Linked DNA regions of Canis lupus familiaris. The main gene of each other region encodes a partner of the protein of the gene in region 2 in a complex. Links are inferred from orthologs where the notes say so. Each region holds a gene or a part of one and is shown on either strand. Other genes may lie near its edges.

Evidence for each region.
Region 1: POLA2 (region 2) and PRIM1 share a complex: the UniProt entries of both Homo sapiens proteins name them as parts of the alpha DNA polymerase complex. The link is inferred for Canis lupus familiaris from reciprocal best matches to the Homo sapiens genes POLA2 and PRIM1.

Annotation. Positions count from the first base shown.
Region 1 is NC_049231.1:1,311,148-1,318,833, forward strand, and holds part of PRIM1 (DNA primase small subunit), read right to left. Parts: intron 5,841-7,686; coding exon 5,771-5,840; intron 4,915-5,770; coding exon 4,823-4,914; intron 1-4,822. UniProt on the Homo sapiens protein: Catalytic subunit of the DNA primase complex and component of the DNA polymerase alpha complex (also known as the alpha DNA polymerase-primase complex - primosome/replisome) which play an essential role in the initiation of DNA synthesis.
Region 2 is NC_049239.1:52,393,855-52,401,540, forward strand, and holds part of POLA2 (DNA polymerase alpha subunit B), read right to left. Parts: intron 5,224-7,686; coding exon 5,117-5,223; intron 2,987-5,116; coding exon 2,793-2,986; intron 2,181-2,792; coding exon 2,092-2,180; intron 671-2,091; coding exon 515-670; intron 1-514. UniProt on the Homo sapiens protein: Accessory subunit of the DNA polymerase alpha complex (also known as the alpha DNA polymerase-primase complex) which plays an essential role in the initiation of DNA synthesis.

The DNA.
Region 1 (7,686 bases), on a different chromosome or scaffold from region 2:
ATTTAATAAATATACTTGGGACTAGAAAAGGAATTTTGATGAGGATATTAAGGATAAATATCTGAACTGTGGCAATTATAAAAGCACATTATAGTTTGTCTTAAACTTTTATATATGAATTTTCTTTTTTTTTTTTTTTTTTTAAAGATTTTTTATTTATTTATTCATAGAGACACAGCTAGAGAGAGAGGCAGAGACACAGGCAGAGGGAGCAGCAGGCACCATGCAGGGAGCCCGATGCGGGACTCGATCCCGGGTCTCCAGGATCACGCCCCGGGCTGCAGGCAGCGCTAAACCGCTGCGCCACGGGGGCTGCCCCTGAATTTTCTTTTAATAATAAAATGTATAACAAATAAACAGTTTAGTTTGGGATCAACCACATAAACTTTGAATCTTTAATTCAAGATTCTAAGCTCCTTGTATATAAGTCATATAGGACAACCCCAGTGGCTCAGCGGTAAGTGCCACCTTCAGCCCAGGGCGTGATCCTGGAGATCTGGGTTCGAGTTCCATGTTGGGCTCCCTGCATGGAGCCTACTTCTCCCTCTGCCTGTGTCCCTGCCTCTCTCTTTCTCTCTGTGTCTCTCATGAATAAATAAAATCTTAAAAAAAAAGAAGTCTATATGTTTACTTCACCATTGTGGAATATATAATAGACACTCAATAATTACTTAAATATTTACTAACTACCTATTACATATTAAGTACTATGCTAAATTCTATATGTGCTGCTGAAGTGAGCACCAAACTCCTTGGTTTTAAGAAGTTTTTAAATGAACTGGAAAAACAAGTCCCGTATGTAGTAATAGAAAACAATATAAAATTAAAAGACCAAACAGGCATATTGATAATTATAAGGCCAACTAATCCATCAGTAAAGGGTTACTGAGGTGGCTATGAAGTGGATCTTAGGAAAAAAAAAAATAGAATTAGGGACACCTGGATGGCTCAGTCAGTTAAGCATCTGACTCTTGGTTTCCACTCAGGTCATTATCTAAGTGGTATGACTGAGCCCTGGATCGGGCTCCATGGTCTGTGTAGAATCTGCTTGAGATTCTTTTCCTCTCCCTCTGCCCCTCCCCCAACTCATGCTTGCAACCTCTCTTTTTTTTAAATATTTATTTATTTATTTATTTATTTATTTATTTATTTATTTATTTATTTATTTATTTATTTATTTATTTATTTATTTATTTATTTATTTATTTATTTATTTATTTATTTATTTATTTATTTATTTATTTATTTATGATAGTCACACAGAAAGAGAGAGAGAGAGGCAGAGACACAGGCAGAGGGAGAAGCAAGCTCCATGCACCGGGAGCCCGACATGGGACTCAATCCCGGGTCTCCAGGATCGCGCCCTGGGCCAAAGGCAGGCACTAAACCGCTGCGCCACCCAGGGATCCCCTGCACCCTCTCTCTTAAATAAATAAATAAAATCTAAAAAAATAATAATAATAAAAAAAATAAAATCTTTATTTTTTAAAAAGAATTTATTTATTCATGAAAGACAGAGAGAGGCAGAGACATTGGGAGGAGGAGGAGAAACAGGCTCTATGCAGAAAGCCCCATGTCGGACTCTGTCCTGGGACTCTGGGATCACACCCTGAGCCAAAGGCAGATGCTCAACCACTGAGCCGCCCAGGTAGTCCCTAAATAAAATATTTAAAGAAGAAAAAGAAGGGGCACCTGGGTGGCTCGTCAGTTAAATATCTGCCTTCAGCTTGGATCATGATCTTAGGGTGTTGGGATTGAGTCTTGCATTGGGCTTCCTGCTTCTCCCTTTCCTTCTGCCCCCTCCCCTCTGCTTGTGCTTTCTCTCTCTCTCTCAAATAAATAAAATCTTAAAAAAAAAAGAAAAAAGAAAAAAGAAAAAAAAAAAAGATACAATGAGAGGAGAGGAGAATATTCCAGGATTTGGGAAGAAGGGCAGGAACAAATGGTACTAGTATGAAAAAGGACAAAGGCTTCAAATCACAGAAACTAAAACAATAGTAGGGAACTTACATATCACTTACTCCAACCCCCCACCATTTCTAAAGCACCTCTGTTGACTATTTATGAATACTTGAAATGATAGTTTAGTTTATTTTTGAATAGTTATATTAGAAAATTTCTCTTTAAAATATCTGAATAAAAAAGATGTCTATCAAGAGATTAATATTAAAAAAATTGTGTTAAAGTAATCTATGCATAAAATAATACTAACAGGCTGGAAAAAATAGCAGCTTCCTGCTCTAATTCTGACCTCTCCATCCTCTTGAATGGCAACCACTTTTTCTTTTCCAGTATCTACTTCTAGCAAATGAACACTTCAATTGTTTAGAAATTCGAGGCCATTCTTAGGTCTGTGGCTTTTGTGGGGACAAGTAGGAAGGGGTCAGAAAGCTCTTTTCTTAATTCTCAGTGTTTTGAGATTTCGAAATGATGTGCCTTGGTGCTGGTTTGTTTTCTTATGCTGAACCTTTTCAATAAAGGGCCCATTTTCACAATGGTTTCCTATATAATTGATATTTTTTCCCTCCTTGTTTGTTATTTTTCTGAAACAACAGGAGATAGGAGACCTCCTGAACCATTCTTCTGATTTCCTTTATCATTTTCCTCTTTAAAATAACAACAAACTTATCTTTATCTTTTTTGTACTACTTTCTTCCACTGAATTTTGTATTCTAAGGATTATGTTTCTGATTTCTAAGACCTCTTTGTTCTCTGTTTCTTTTCATAGTCACACACAGAGAGAGAGAGAGAGGCAGAGACACAGGCAGAGGGAGAAGCAGGCTCCATGCACCGGATGGATACATCTGATCTTGCTTCATGGATACTCTATCTTCCCTTATCCTCTGAGGATATTAATTTCTTAAAAAAAGGTTTTCAGGGTACCTGGCTGGCTCAGTTAGAACATAGGACTCTTGATCTCTGGGTGGTGAGTTTGAGCCCCATGTTGGGCACAGAGATGACTTAACCCATTACTTAAAAAAATAGGGGTTTTCGGGATCCCTGGGTGGCGCAGCAGTTTAGCGCCTGCCTTTGGCCCAGGGTGTGATCCTGGAGACGCAGGATGGAGTCCCACGTCAGGCTCCCGGTACATGGAGCCTGCTTCTCCCTCTGCCTATGTCTCTGCCTCTCTCTCTCTCTCTGTGTGACTATCATAAATAAATAAAAATTAAAAAAAAAAAAGACACACCAAAAAAAGACCGTGCTCTTTAAAAAAAATTAAAAAATAAGGGTTTTCTTTATTCCTTGCATTATCTGTTTTCTCTGAGTGCCTTTTTCCAGTTTATTCTGATTTTTCATGTTGGAGACATTTTTTAAATACTTTATTTACTTACATTAAAAAAATATTTATTTTTTCATGAGGCATACAGAGGCAGAGACATAGGCAGAGGGAGAAGCGGGCTCCCTGCAGGGGAATCTGATGCAGGACTCAATCCCAGGACCCCAGAATCGTGACCTGAGCCAAAGGCAGATGCTTAACCACTGAGCCACTCAGGTGCCCCTAACTACTTATTTTTTAAAAAGGTTTTATTTATTTATTTGAGAGAGAGAGAGAAAGTGTGGGGGTGGTGGCAGAGGGAGAGGGACAAGCAGACACTGCGCTCAGTCTGAGCCAGACTCAGCTCGATCCCATGACTGAGAGCATAACCTGAGCCAAAACCAAGAGTTGGGACACCCAACCAAATAAGCGACCCAGGTGCCCCTCAAATACCTTACACAGAATGCTTGTAATCATTCTACAAACATTAATAATGAAATGTACTATGTTTAGGTATTATGTTAGAGCTGGAATAGATGAAATGATTTTTTTTTTAATGGAGTGATATTTGAGCTTGGATTTTGACAGAAGGTAGCATCATTTGACCAAGAAAGGTCAGAGATCACAGATCTGCACTATTACAATAGTCACCAGCTACATGTGGCTATTTTAAATGAAATGAAATTGAAAATCCAGTTTTCACAATTCAGGTGGATTGTGCCACATGTGGCTAGTGACTACCACACTGAGCAGTGCATTAAATTTCCATCATCACAGGAAGTTCTATTGGCTTTGTGGCTATAGAGTGTCTCTTGGGTGTTGTTATATAAAGATTTGGCTTCTATTAGCAGAAGATTTATAAATTCCCTAGCTCCTTCAAAATCTTGAATATATAATTCAACCACAGTTTAGATATATATTACCATAACACTCATCTATCTACATCAAAAACAAAGAACAAAAGTACTGCATACATAGTAGTTGTTAAATAAGTAGCTGTTGAACCTAAGATTGTGAGAGTCAAACAACTATCAACACAAATTGACAATTTAATCTTATAGTATAGATCCTGGCATTTAGATGTTGCTTGGTAAATATCTGTTGATTAAATTGGATTCAACAGCACCTTCCGGCTAATTGATGAAGAATGGACATTGCTATGATATTATTTGTTAACATGATATCATGTTACATGATATTATGATATTATATATTATTATTTGGTGGTTTCAGGATAAATATTGATCCATTCTGGGCTGAATCCAAAGAGAATTAATTACTCGACTGACAGAAGGATGTCTATATAAGAAACATGTTAGGGCAGCCCTGGTGGCGCAGCGGTATAGTGCTGCCTGCAGCCCAGGGCGTGATCCTGGAGACCCTGGATCGAGTCCCACGTCAGGCTCTTTGTATGATGTCTGCTTCTCCCTTTGCCTGTGTCTCTGCCTCTCTCTCTGTGTGTCTATCATGAATAAATAAATAAAATCTTAAAAAAAAAAAAAAAAAAGAACTGCTAAAAAAAAAAAAAGAAACATGTTAAAATGAGACTTCAATATATTAACGTACCTCTGGTTCTATGTTTGATATCAGATTCAGCTTCGTTTCCCTCCTTTCCCTCATCATTAGTGGAAACAGCATCCAATTCATGGCAGATAGAGCTACAAATAATAGAATAAGATAATTTTTTAAACTTTTTCTTAACTCTATACTTAATGTGGGGTTTGAACTCATGACTCCAAGATCAAGAGTCACATGCCCTACCCACTGAGCCAGCCAGGTGCCCCAGAATAAGAGAATTCTAATTTTTTAAAAGATTTTATTTATTTATTCATGAGAGAGGCAGAGACACAGGCAGAGGGAGAAACAGGCTCCATGCACGGAGCCCGATGTTGGGACTTGATCCCAAGACTCCAGGACCTCACTCCCTGAGCCAAAGGCAGACGCCCAACTGCTGAGCCACCCAGGCGTCCAATTTTTTTTTTTAAGTAGGCTCTATGCTCAGTGTGGAGCCCAGTATGAGGCCTAAACTTATGACCCAGGGATCAAGACTGGAGCTAAGATCAAGAGTTGGATCCTTAAGTGACTGAGCCACCCAGGCAACCTAGAATAAAATTTTTTAAAGTTGGTTCTTGGTCAACATTACCCAGTGTGTGATAGCACATGAATCCCACAAGATTTTCTGTAAAAAAGATGTGACCAACTAAATTTGGGATAGTCTAAAAATCACAATCTCTTGTTAGAATTTTCCATGCATAATGAAAATTAGGAAATCTTACAGTAAAGAACGTTTTATCTGTTTAAGTTGTTATTTCCCAAACTTATTTGAACTTGTAATCTTTTTATTAGAGAAGAGCAGCTTGTGTTCTGTGGAACTCACTAGGAAATGTTGCCCTACTAGGGCATCATCATATAGCCTCAGAACAGCTGCCTCTCTGGAAGGGATCTAATTCAATCTACTTCAAATTTAGAATAACAATCACAAATTTAAAAAAAAATCAATAATCTAGAACATACCTTATGGTTGGAACAGTAAATGGATCAAACTGATCTACTTTCTGTAAATCAATAGGCACAGAAATTCGACCTGTAAGAACCAAAAGTTATAAATTGATGATTGTAAAATACAATCTAATGTGTTATTTTGGCTAAACTTTAATCTAAGGCTTAGAAAAAGGGTTAGACTCATCTGTTAAAAAAAACAATAGTTAGAAATTACTTACACATTAGCTGCGCTTTTAATTTCTCTTAAAAAATAGGTATGAAAGACTGTTGAGCTATTACCTAGTGCTCTTATCTATCTATCATCTATTTATTTATTTATTTATTTATTTATTTATTTTAATGAGAGACACAGAGAGGCAGAGACATAGGCAGAAGGAGAAGCAGGCTCCCTGCAGGCAGCCTGATGCAGGACTTGATCCTAGGACCCAGGACCATGACCCAAGCCAAAGGCAGATGCTCAAGCACTGAGCCACCCAGGCATCCCTCTACTTTTATTTCTATCTCCTTCCTCCTAATATCCTTTTATATATAAGTACAGAATGATATCAAATTAGTGAGTCCTGAAAATGAAATAACATAGTTATAGTTCATTTCATTAACTTGGTTTATTTGGTGAGATCAGAACAGACACCTATATGTTGGGCATCTTTGGAAAGCATTTTAGAGATAAAGTCGACAGCATTATACTACCATTTCATAATATCCACACCTGGGAACACCTCATAAAATTCATCACATCGCAGAAATGAGATAATGAATCTAAAAGATGCCAAGTAAATAGCAAGTAAAATAATTAGGAGAATTGAGAGTTGCTGCTTGAAGACTGCAGCTGCTTAATGGGAAAACGATATAATCAAAATGTACATACATATGAACATCATTATTTACCCAAACCCTGGATATTAGAATAAGGGGATACCCACTAAAGCTCTAGAATTAGGTTTAATAAATATTAACAAATATAGGGACGCCTGGATGGCTCAGTGGTTGAGCGTCTGCCTTTGACCAGGGCCTGATTCCAGGGATCGAGTCCCACATCAGGCTCCTACAGACAGCCTGCTTCTCCCTCTGCCTGTGTCTCTGCCTCTCATCCTCTCTCTGTCTCTCATGAATAAATAAATAAAATCTTTAAAAAAAATTAACAAATATATAATGAGCACTAGGTGTTATATGGAATTTATAAATCACTGAACTCTACTCTGAAACTAATCATATACTATATGTTAATTAATTGAATTTAAATAAAAAATTTAAAAAAAGAAATATTAAGCTTATTACCAAAAGAAGCTGAAAACACATAGTTGATAAGTTTGGAAAGGGGCTTATTCTAATATATGGACTAGAGAATCATTACAGATCATTAAAGGAAACTAGGCAAGTTGGGAGAATTGAATGTGTGACACTTTTTCCGAGCACTTTACATTTTAGATCTTCATAAGGGATCCCTGGGTGGCGCAGTGGTTTAGCGCCTGCCTTTGGCCCAGGGCGCGATCCTGGAGACCCAGGATCGAATCCCACGTCGGGCTCCCGGTGCATGGAGCCTGCTTCTCCTTCTACCTATGTCTCTGCCTCTCTCTCTCTCTATCTCTGTGTGACTATCATAAATAAATAAAAATTAAAAAAAAAAATCCATGGAGGTAGGTAGGTACTATATTATCTCCATTTACAGATGAGAAAACCAAGGCACAGAGAGAAATTTGCCTAACATCCCACACGAGTGACAGAGTTGGATTATTGATGCTAAAAAGGACAACTATATACAACTATGTATGTTTCCTGGGTGGATGATGCAAAGTTTATATCAATATAGCACCTTTTATATTTATTTTAAAGTCAGTTTCAGTCTATCAAAACATATTTAAGAGAAATGTGAAGGAAGAACGCTAAAACTGTGGAAAAAGAACTGAGGGAGGAGGCATAGTGGGCAA
Region 2 (7,686 bases):
CCCCTCCCTCAGCTTGTGTGAGCACTCTCTCAAAGAAATAAATTAAATCTTTAAAAAAAGTATATTAAGTACTAAGTCCATCTATGTCATTTTATAATTATAGACTTGGGGGTATTTTCCTAGAAAACAAATTAAGGGAGGGATGTATTAGTAAGAACAATTATGTGCTATATGGACGATCTAATTTTTTGCAACAATCCTATGAGGTAAGAATTATTATTCCCATTTTAGAGATGAAGACACTCTGACTTAAGAGAGGATAAGCAATGTGGCCAGAATGATACACTCCGTGGGGGTGGAGTTAAAGTCTGAACTGGGCAGCAGATCCCAGAGCTGAGGTCAGAGCACTCCAGGCAAGCTGGAATTCCTACTTGGCTGTCTGCTCTTGAGCCTGGGCTCCGGCCACACCTCATGGTACCACAGGATGAAAGTAAGAGGCAGCCAGTGATGAAATGGCTCATCCTACCCCCGCCCACCACATACAGTATAGAGTAAACAGCACACCTCATCTCACCTGTCCGGGAAACAGAGAATATTCTTTGAGCTCAGATAAATCCACTGGAATCTGGGCCCCTGAGGAATGTTCCCGGTCTCCCTCAAGAATCACTGACTTGCTATTCAGCTTCCCATTGGTATCACAGCCAATCTGGCCCAGCAGAATGACAGGCTCCTGCCGAAGGTATGACATGAGAATGACCGTCTTTGGGATAGGAGCTCAAAATCTGGAGTCGACAGAACGAACAGCATAGCAAACCCCAAGCAGGAAAGGTTTTTTTGGTGGGGCATCATAATGACATATTGACAAGTACCATCAGGGACTCAGGGCATCTGGTCTGCCTGCCCACCAGGTGCTTGAGCCTTTCTAAGTGGTCATCTAAACTTGGGCATCTCTAGTGAAGGGAAACTAGGTCCTTGTAATCCAAGGCAGCCCACTGCATCTCTGGATAGTTTTAACCATCAATAGCTCACGTCTATTGAGCTGAGTACCAGGCACTGTTCTAAAGACTTATGTGTGTAAACTTGTCTAATCTTCATAACAACAGTGAGTTGGATACTACTATTGTACCCATTTTATGAAAGAAAAATCAGCAACAGGTTACATAATTTAGTTAAGGTCAGAGACTGGGTGAAGTCTGGGTTTGAAGTTTGGTTCCAGAGCCATATTCTTAACTACACGTCATATTGTCTCTTAACAGGAAGTTCTTTAAATTGAGCTGAAAGTTCTTTCCCTGTGGCTTCCTCTATCCTGTTCCCACTCCTGGGGGCAGACTGAGGAAGTCTAATCTTTTCCCACAAGACTGAACATCCCTGCCTCCACTCCACCATTTCTTCCCAATTCCTCATAAACTTCCTTACATGACATGGTTTTGCCTATGGTGAATCTTCTCTGAATGTAAACAATGACAGAGGTAACTTAAGGAATCTTCTAGAACACATTTCCCTTTGGATTAGAAAAATGTTTCAGGGAGAAAGCACTGGAACATATGCCAGATTAAACTACAATTAAAGATACTACTGGCAACAGTTGATCTATAAAGGACAGAAACCAAACTGGGGGAGAGACTATGAGTCACTGTTTTTGGAAGCCCTACGCTTGCTGTTGTCCTCATATCCTGGTAACCAAACGCTTCTATTTGTAGAGCATCTCTAGGGAGTTACCTGTCTCGCCTCAGTCTCTGCTATGTGCAAGACCCTAATCCAAATGCCAAGAAGGGATGCCTGGGTGGCTCAGTGGTTAAGTGTCTGCCTTTGGCTCAGGGCATGATCTTAGAGTCCTGGGATCGAGTCCCACGTTGGACTCCCTGCATGGAGCCTGCTTCTCCCTCTGCCTATGTCTCTACCTCTCTCTCTCTCATGAATAAATAGAATCTTAAAAAAAATATGCAAAGAAAATGGTCATCTCTGATCACAAAACCAGAGAGCACTTCTAAGTCTTTCTTCAGAAGGATCCATTTTACAAAATTTGACCAAGATAGATATTCTCACTAGAATGAAGACAAGAAATGAAAAACGAAGCAAGGATACCTTTTTTTTTACCATCAGTTTAAAAATACAAAATTAATTAGGAAGGACTATGAGAACAATTCTTACCTGAGCTGGGACCAGAACAGGAGTAAAAGCCTCAATCTTGTAATGTTCCTTCAGTTCGCTGCCAAGCTCCTCTATCTTACAGGTCAGAACTGAAAGCCCAGAGGAGAAAAAGTACTATGTTTAGAACATTTCACTTGCCAAGAGGAGAAGATACAGTGCATTGTAAAATACTGCAATCAGTCATTTTACAGAAGCAGGAGGGTGCCCAGGACCACTTTCTAAAGCCCTAGCCAATCTACCAATATTTGGTTGTGGGAGCTGGCTTTCCATTTGGCCATGGATCATGGGGCACAATCTCCTAGAGTCAGCACAGATGCCCACAGCCCAGCCTTCCCTTTACTCCGGTCATCAGTGAGGTTTAGGGGGAGTCAAGTCCAATCTAGAGAATCTTCCATTCTTTACAAGGAAGAAACCAAAAATGTCTTTGACTTTATTTGGCTTCTTTTACACAGTTCAAATGGTTGTCACTGGAAAATGTTCTGCGCTTTTTCTTTAGGGAAGCAAAGTGACTTGGTAGAATTACTGAGAGGGTCACCTCATGTCCTTCCACTTCTAGGGGCATCTGGAGGACATCTACCAACTCTGTATTCAAAGGCAACCTTGGAACTTGTTGTACCAGCCTAGCTGAAGCTTTGTTACTCACTCTAGACCTTTCTAGGTAGTTTTATATTCTCCAGAGTTGCAAAAAGAAAAACAATTACCGTCTCGGATATCTGGAAGTTTCTGAAACATTGATTTGTAGCTCCCAGTTAGTGATTCTGGACACCCTAGGACCTTCAGGCTGATGTTGCTGGCCCTTCCTCTTCCAGACCAAGACACTCCCTGTGCTGAGCCAAAGGAGATAACCACTTCTCCTCGGTTATTTCTTGAGCTGTATTTCTGAGAGGGAGTAGCACTGATTGGAAGCAAAACATATAAGCATTACTGTATTCCTATCTAATGAGAGAGGGGAATAAAATAAGGTTACCTTTTAGAAATGGGGATTGGAGGAATGTCAAGCTGGCCTCACATTTTATAAATCTAATCAACTTAATGGGGCTGGACATACCAACCTTTAAGGAATTTCAGGAATGAGTTTAAGTTTAGAGACAGAGACATATTTTAAACGGCTTTCTCCTGGCTTACAACTAAACAAAGCAAAACCAAACCAAACTGAATGGATTAAAAAGTTTCAAGTTCCACTTTCTTTTCTTTCTTATAAATTTTTTAAAGATTATTTATTTGAGAGAGAGAAAGAGAAAGAGAGAACACGAGAGGGGGAAGGGCAGGGGGAGAGGGGCTCGATCCTAGGTTCTCGGGATCATGACCTGAGTTTAAGGCAGATGCTTAACTGACTCAGCCACCCAGGCGCCTCTCTGATGATTTTTTTTTTTTTTATACCATTTATTAGAATAACATGAGAGCCTGGCTGTGGATAAGCCCAAAGCTGCTGTGGATCTATAATACTTAACAATATAGTTCAAGGTAGACACAATAAAATGAAGTTAAGAACAATTAATCAACTTTTCCCAGTGTCTGTGGAGGTGGAGATGGAATGAATTCAGTTGGCTGGTGAACAAACATTCCCATTCTCCAAGGCTCAACTGACAAGTTCTTGTATTTCCATGCACTGACTGGTCAATAGGGACCCATGAACGTCGCTGAGCTCCTAGGAAGGTAGTGAGGGCACCTCATCCTCTGGCTGTGGATGTCGCTTACAGAGAGGTCTCCTCCAAACAGTCTGCACTTTGTGCACTGGGAGTCTGCAGGAACGAGTTTTATGTGGGCAGTACTGCCACTGGTGCCATCACCTCTCCTGTCCACAGAGGCTGCGGAAAATGAGCTCCACTAATGATCTCCATCTCCAGTGCTGCCTCTACCTGAATAATTTAGAAGTTACTTTCATAAATTACAAAACCAGTTTCTGATGTCAGCTTTATTAGCGTGCATTAAAAAGTGCCTAGGCAGCATACTGCGACTTCTCTGAGCTCCTCCCAAAGCAGCTCCATGGGACAGCTAAGACGGCCGGCCCTTTAGTGAAATGAAGTTTCTGGAATGGCGCTGGTTCAGGGGATGAGAACCATCCTCTACCCATCCAGTTTCAAAGATGCCCTCCTATGTCTGGAAAGCTCGCTTCCAAAACCAGTCTGAAAGCTCCCCAAAGTAGCAGGGGACCAAGCTAGAGAAACCCGTCCTTCTGAATCCCACGACCACTTGTATGGTATGACTGCTATCCCCTCCTTTCTACAGTGACAAAGCTGGGAAATCTAAAGCTCTGCTTCGTCTAGAAGTGGCCCACAATATAGGCAGTGACTCCTGGTAGCATATCCCTAAATGGTTAATGCTGACAGTTCCTTAGCCTCATCCTGGTGTGGCAGCACCAAACCTTTCTTCTACTCGGCAGGGCCCTCACCCATGGAATTCTCTAACAGAAGACATGTCATTTATGGATTTCAAAAAAACATCACCGGTGATCTTTGTGGATTTATGGGCAGAAGTGGCAGCAGGGAAAAAATGCCAATTAAGTCTTTGTAGATTCACAGTGACTTGCCAACTCTCAGAAACTAGTTGTAACCTGAGAGAGGGACAATAAACAGGTTACATGACATGATGAACACAGGTACGTGCTTTACTTTCTGAAAAATAGATACCGTTGGTGAAAAGGGGGAGGAAGAAGGGAAGAAACCCAACAACACCAAACTACCAGAGGCAGGCAGAAACCTATTTGTCTCTACTGGCAAGACTCCTGAGACTCCCAGACTTGTGAATAGACAGGTTGTTTTCTAGAGAAGATATCAGTTCCTGATCTAGGAAATGAACCCCAGAAAACTGGGTGGAAAATGAGTTTCCTTAACTGCTGCAAAACATGGGGATTTTCCACACAGGAGAAGGTAGGGAGGGAGGGCAGAGAGCAAGAGGCTCTGGAGGCAGGCACCGCAGAGGCACCTGCATGGAGACTGTCACACTGCGGGGTCAGCCACCTGACCACCACAGAAAGGGGAAAGCAGGCCTGCCGTCTGGCAGCTGGATTCATGCAGATCCATACCTTGGAGAGAAACTTGAAGGCGAGAGGAGTTGATGGGGACTCCGAGTAGACATGGTCCTTTTTGTTAGGGGTGTTTCTGGGGTGGTGATAGCTCGCTTCTGAGAACCCTAGGAACAAAACAGAAAATAAGAGCCCAGTCACTGCAGACCTGGGTTACTACCTGAGTGTACAGTCCCTGAGGAAGAAAAGCATGGGGTCCAAGGAAAGACTGTGCTGGTTTTCTTCCTTTTTCCCCCCCCTCAAAGATTTTATTTATTTATTCATGAGAGAAAGAGAGGCAGAGACACAGGCGAGAGAGAAGCAGGCTCCATGCAGGGAGCCCGATGTGGGACTCGATCCTGGAATCCCGGGATCACACCCTGAGCCAAAGGCAAATGCTCAACCACTGAGCCACCCAGGCATCCCAGCTGGTTCTCTTCTTAAGGCCCCATCTCTAAACATAATCCCTTCAGAAATCTTTAGTGGCTATCACCAAATCCATTGGAGTCCTGTCCTCATTTTGAGGGCAATTATGAAAAAGTATCAACATTTCCCAGAAGGCAATCCGTGCTGTCAAATTGTTCACATGGTCACTTTCTGTCTCTCTCCTTTTGCTTTAGAACAGTTGTGAGTTTTGACCTGGGCAGACATATTTTCCTGAGGAGGGATGGGATCACGTTACTACTCATTTTGGCAAAGTCCACTGCTCGTTTTCAAAATTAGAGAAGGGAACGACTCCAGGCAGATGGCACAGCTGAGCTCTTGGTTTGACTATTTAGCAAACACCTCATTGATGGTCACTTCTGTTTTCTGGCTTTTGCTCATTAACAAGAATCCAAAGGTGTGCCCGGGATGGAGGATGAAGCCCACAGCTCAGAGGTCTAGTGCTTCCCATAGTCTAGGATAGCTGGCTGTGGCAGAGCCAAGATAAAATCTTTGCTGGGACCACAACCAGGAGGCCAGCTGGTGTGCAGAGGATTCCCTGCCCTTGGGCTCCCCCTGGCTGCGTACGTAAGTTCTGCCACCACAGCTGCCTGCTGGTGATGACTGGGAACAGAACACAAGAGAACGGGCTCCAGACCATCAAGTAGCCAGGATGGGTATTAGGTCTTACAAAGATCCTTATGCTACCACTCTCATAACTATTTTTAAATACTCTTTTCTAGTGTTTTTATAGTTTTCCAATTAAAAAAATATAATTTCTAATACTTACAATCTTAGTTTAAGTATAATAACCCTTTATTTGAATATTACATATACTGATATTTTTCATGCTGTATTAACCATGAACACTTTCCCACATTGTCACAACCTTTGTCCTTTTTTTTTTTTAATTTTTATTTATTTACGATAGTCACACAGAGAGAGAGAGAGAGGCAGAGACACAGGCAGAGGGAGAAGCAGGCTCCATGCACTGGGAGCCCGATGTGGGATTCATTCCAGGGTCTCCCGGATCGCGCCCTGGGCCAAAGGCAGGCGCCAAACCACTGCGCTACCCAGGGATCCCAACCTTTGTCCTTTGTAGTGGCTGTAATTAAATTAATACATATAGTAGCTTACATAACTACTTCTCTACCCCGTGGATGTATGGAATGCTTGTAATTTTGGGTGATTATAGATGCCCAATCTTCACGAGGTAAAGATGAGTGAAGATGCCCATCTTCATGTGGATAGCCCCTCACATAATTTGCATTCATTCTTTCTTTCTTTTTCTTTCTTTCTTTTTTTTAGATTTTATTTATTCATGAGAGATGCAGAGAGAGAGAGAGAGAGAGAGAGAGAGAGAGAGAGAGAGGCAGAGACACAGGAATAAGGAGAAGCAGGCTCCATACTGGGAGCCAGATGTGGGACTTGATCCCAGGACTCCAGGATCACGCCTTAGGCCGAAGGCAGGTGCTAAATCGCTGAGCCACCCGGGGATCCCCTGGATTATTTCTTTAGGAGACATTCTGACTAGAGACAATTACTAGGCCAACGGATGGCTAAAATTTTATGGTTTTGACATAGTTTCTCAAACTATTTTCGTAAACGATTCTTGTAATACACAGGGGCTGTCAAATGCTAGGGCCAAGGTTGTGTGGGAGCATTCCAAGAGAAAGAAAGTCTGTCTCCCAGGACATGGCAAGAGGATGGCACTCTGGGAGATGGTGCCATTTCACTGCCCTTGACTGCAGCCCTCGCAGTGAAACCTGATAGTGTCAACAAACCAACTCCAGTTATGCTTCTCAAGGATGCACTCGTTCTAATCAATCTCATGAGACTTGCTATTAGCACTACATGCCAGCCTACTCCCTTGTAGTGAGAAGTACAGCGACCAAGGGTATCATAGTCTCATATCCCAGGGTAAGCACATTCTCATGCCACACAAAAACCCAAATTATAGCCCAGGTTGCCAGTTTATTAATTTACTAGAAATATAATGCTGGTGGCACAGGAACCTCAAATCCGCAGGCTAGCACATTCCCTCCGTGTCAGGCAGGACATGTGGAAAGCCAAATTATCACCAGGGGATTTATGGTGAGCATGGAAGCAAAAGAATAGCTATCAACTGCACAAGTCAAATATTTAATGATGATAAGGTAAGGCCACTG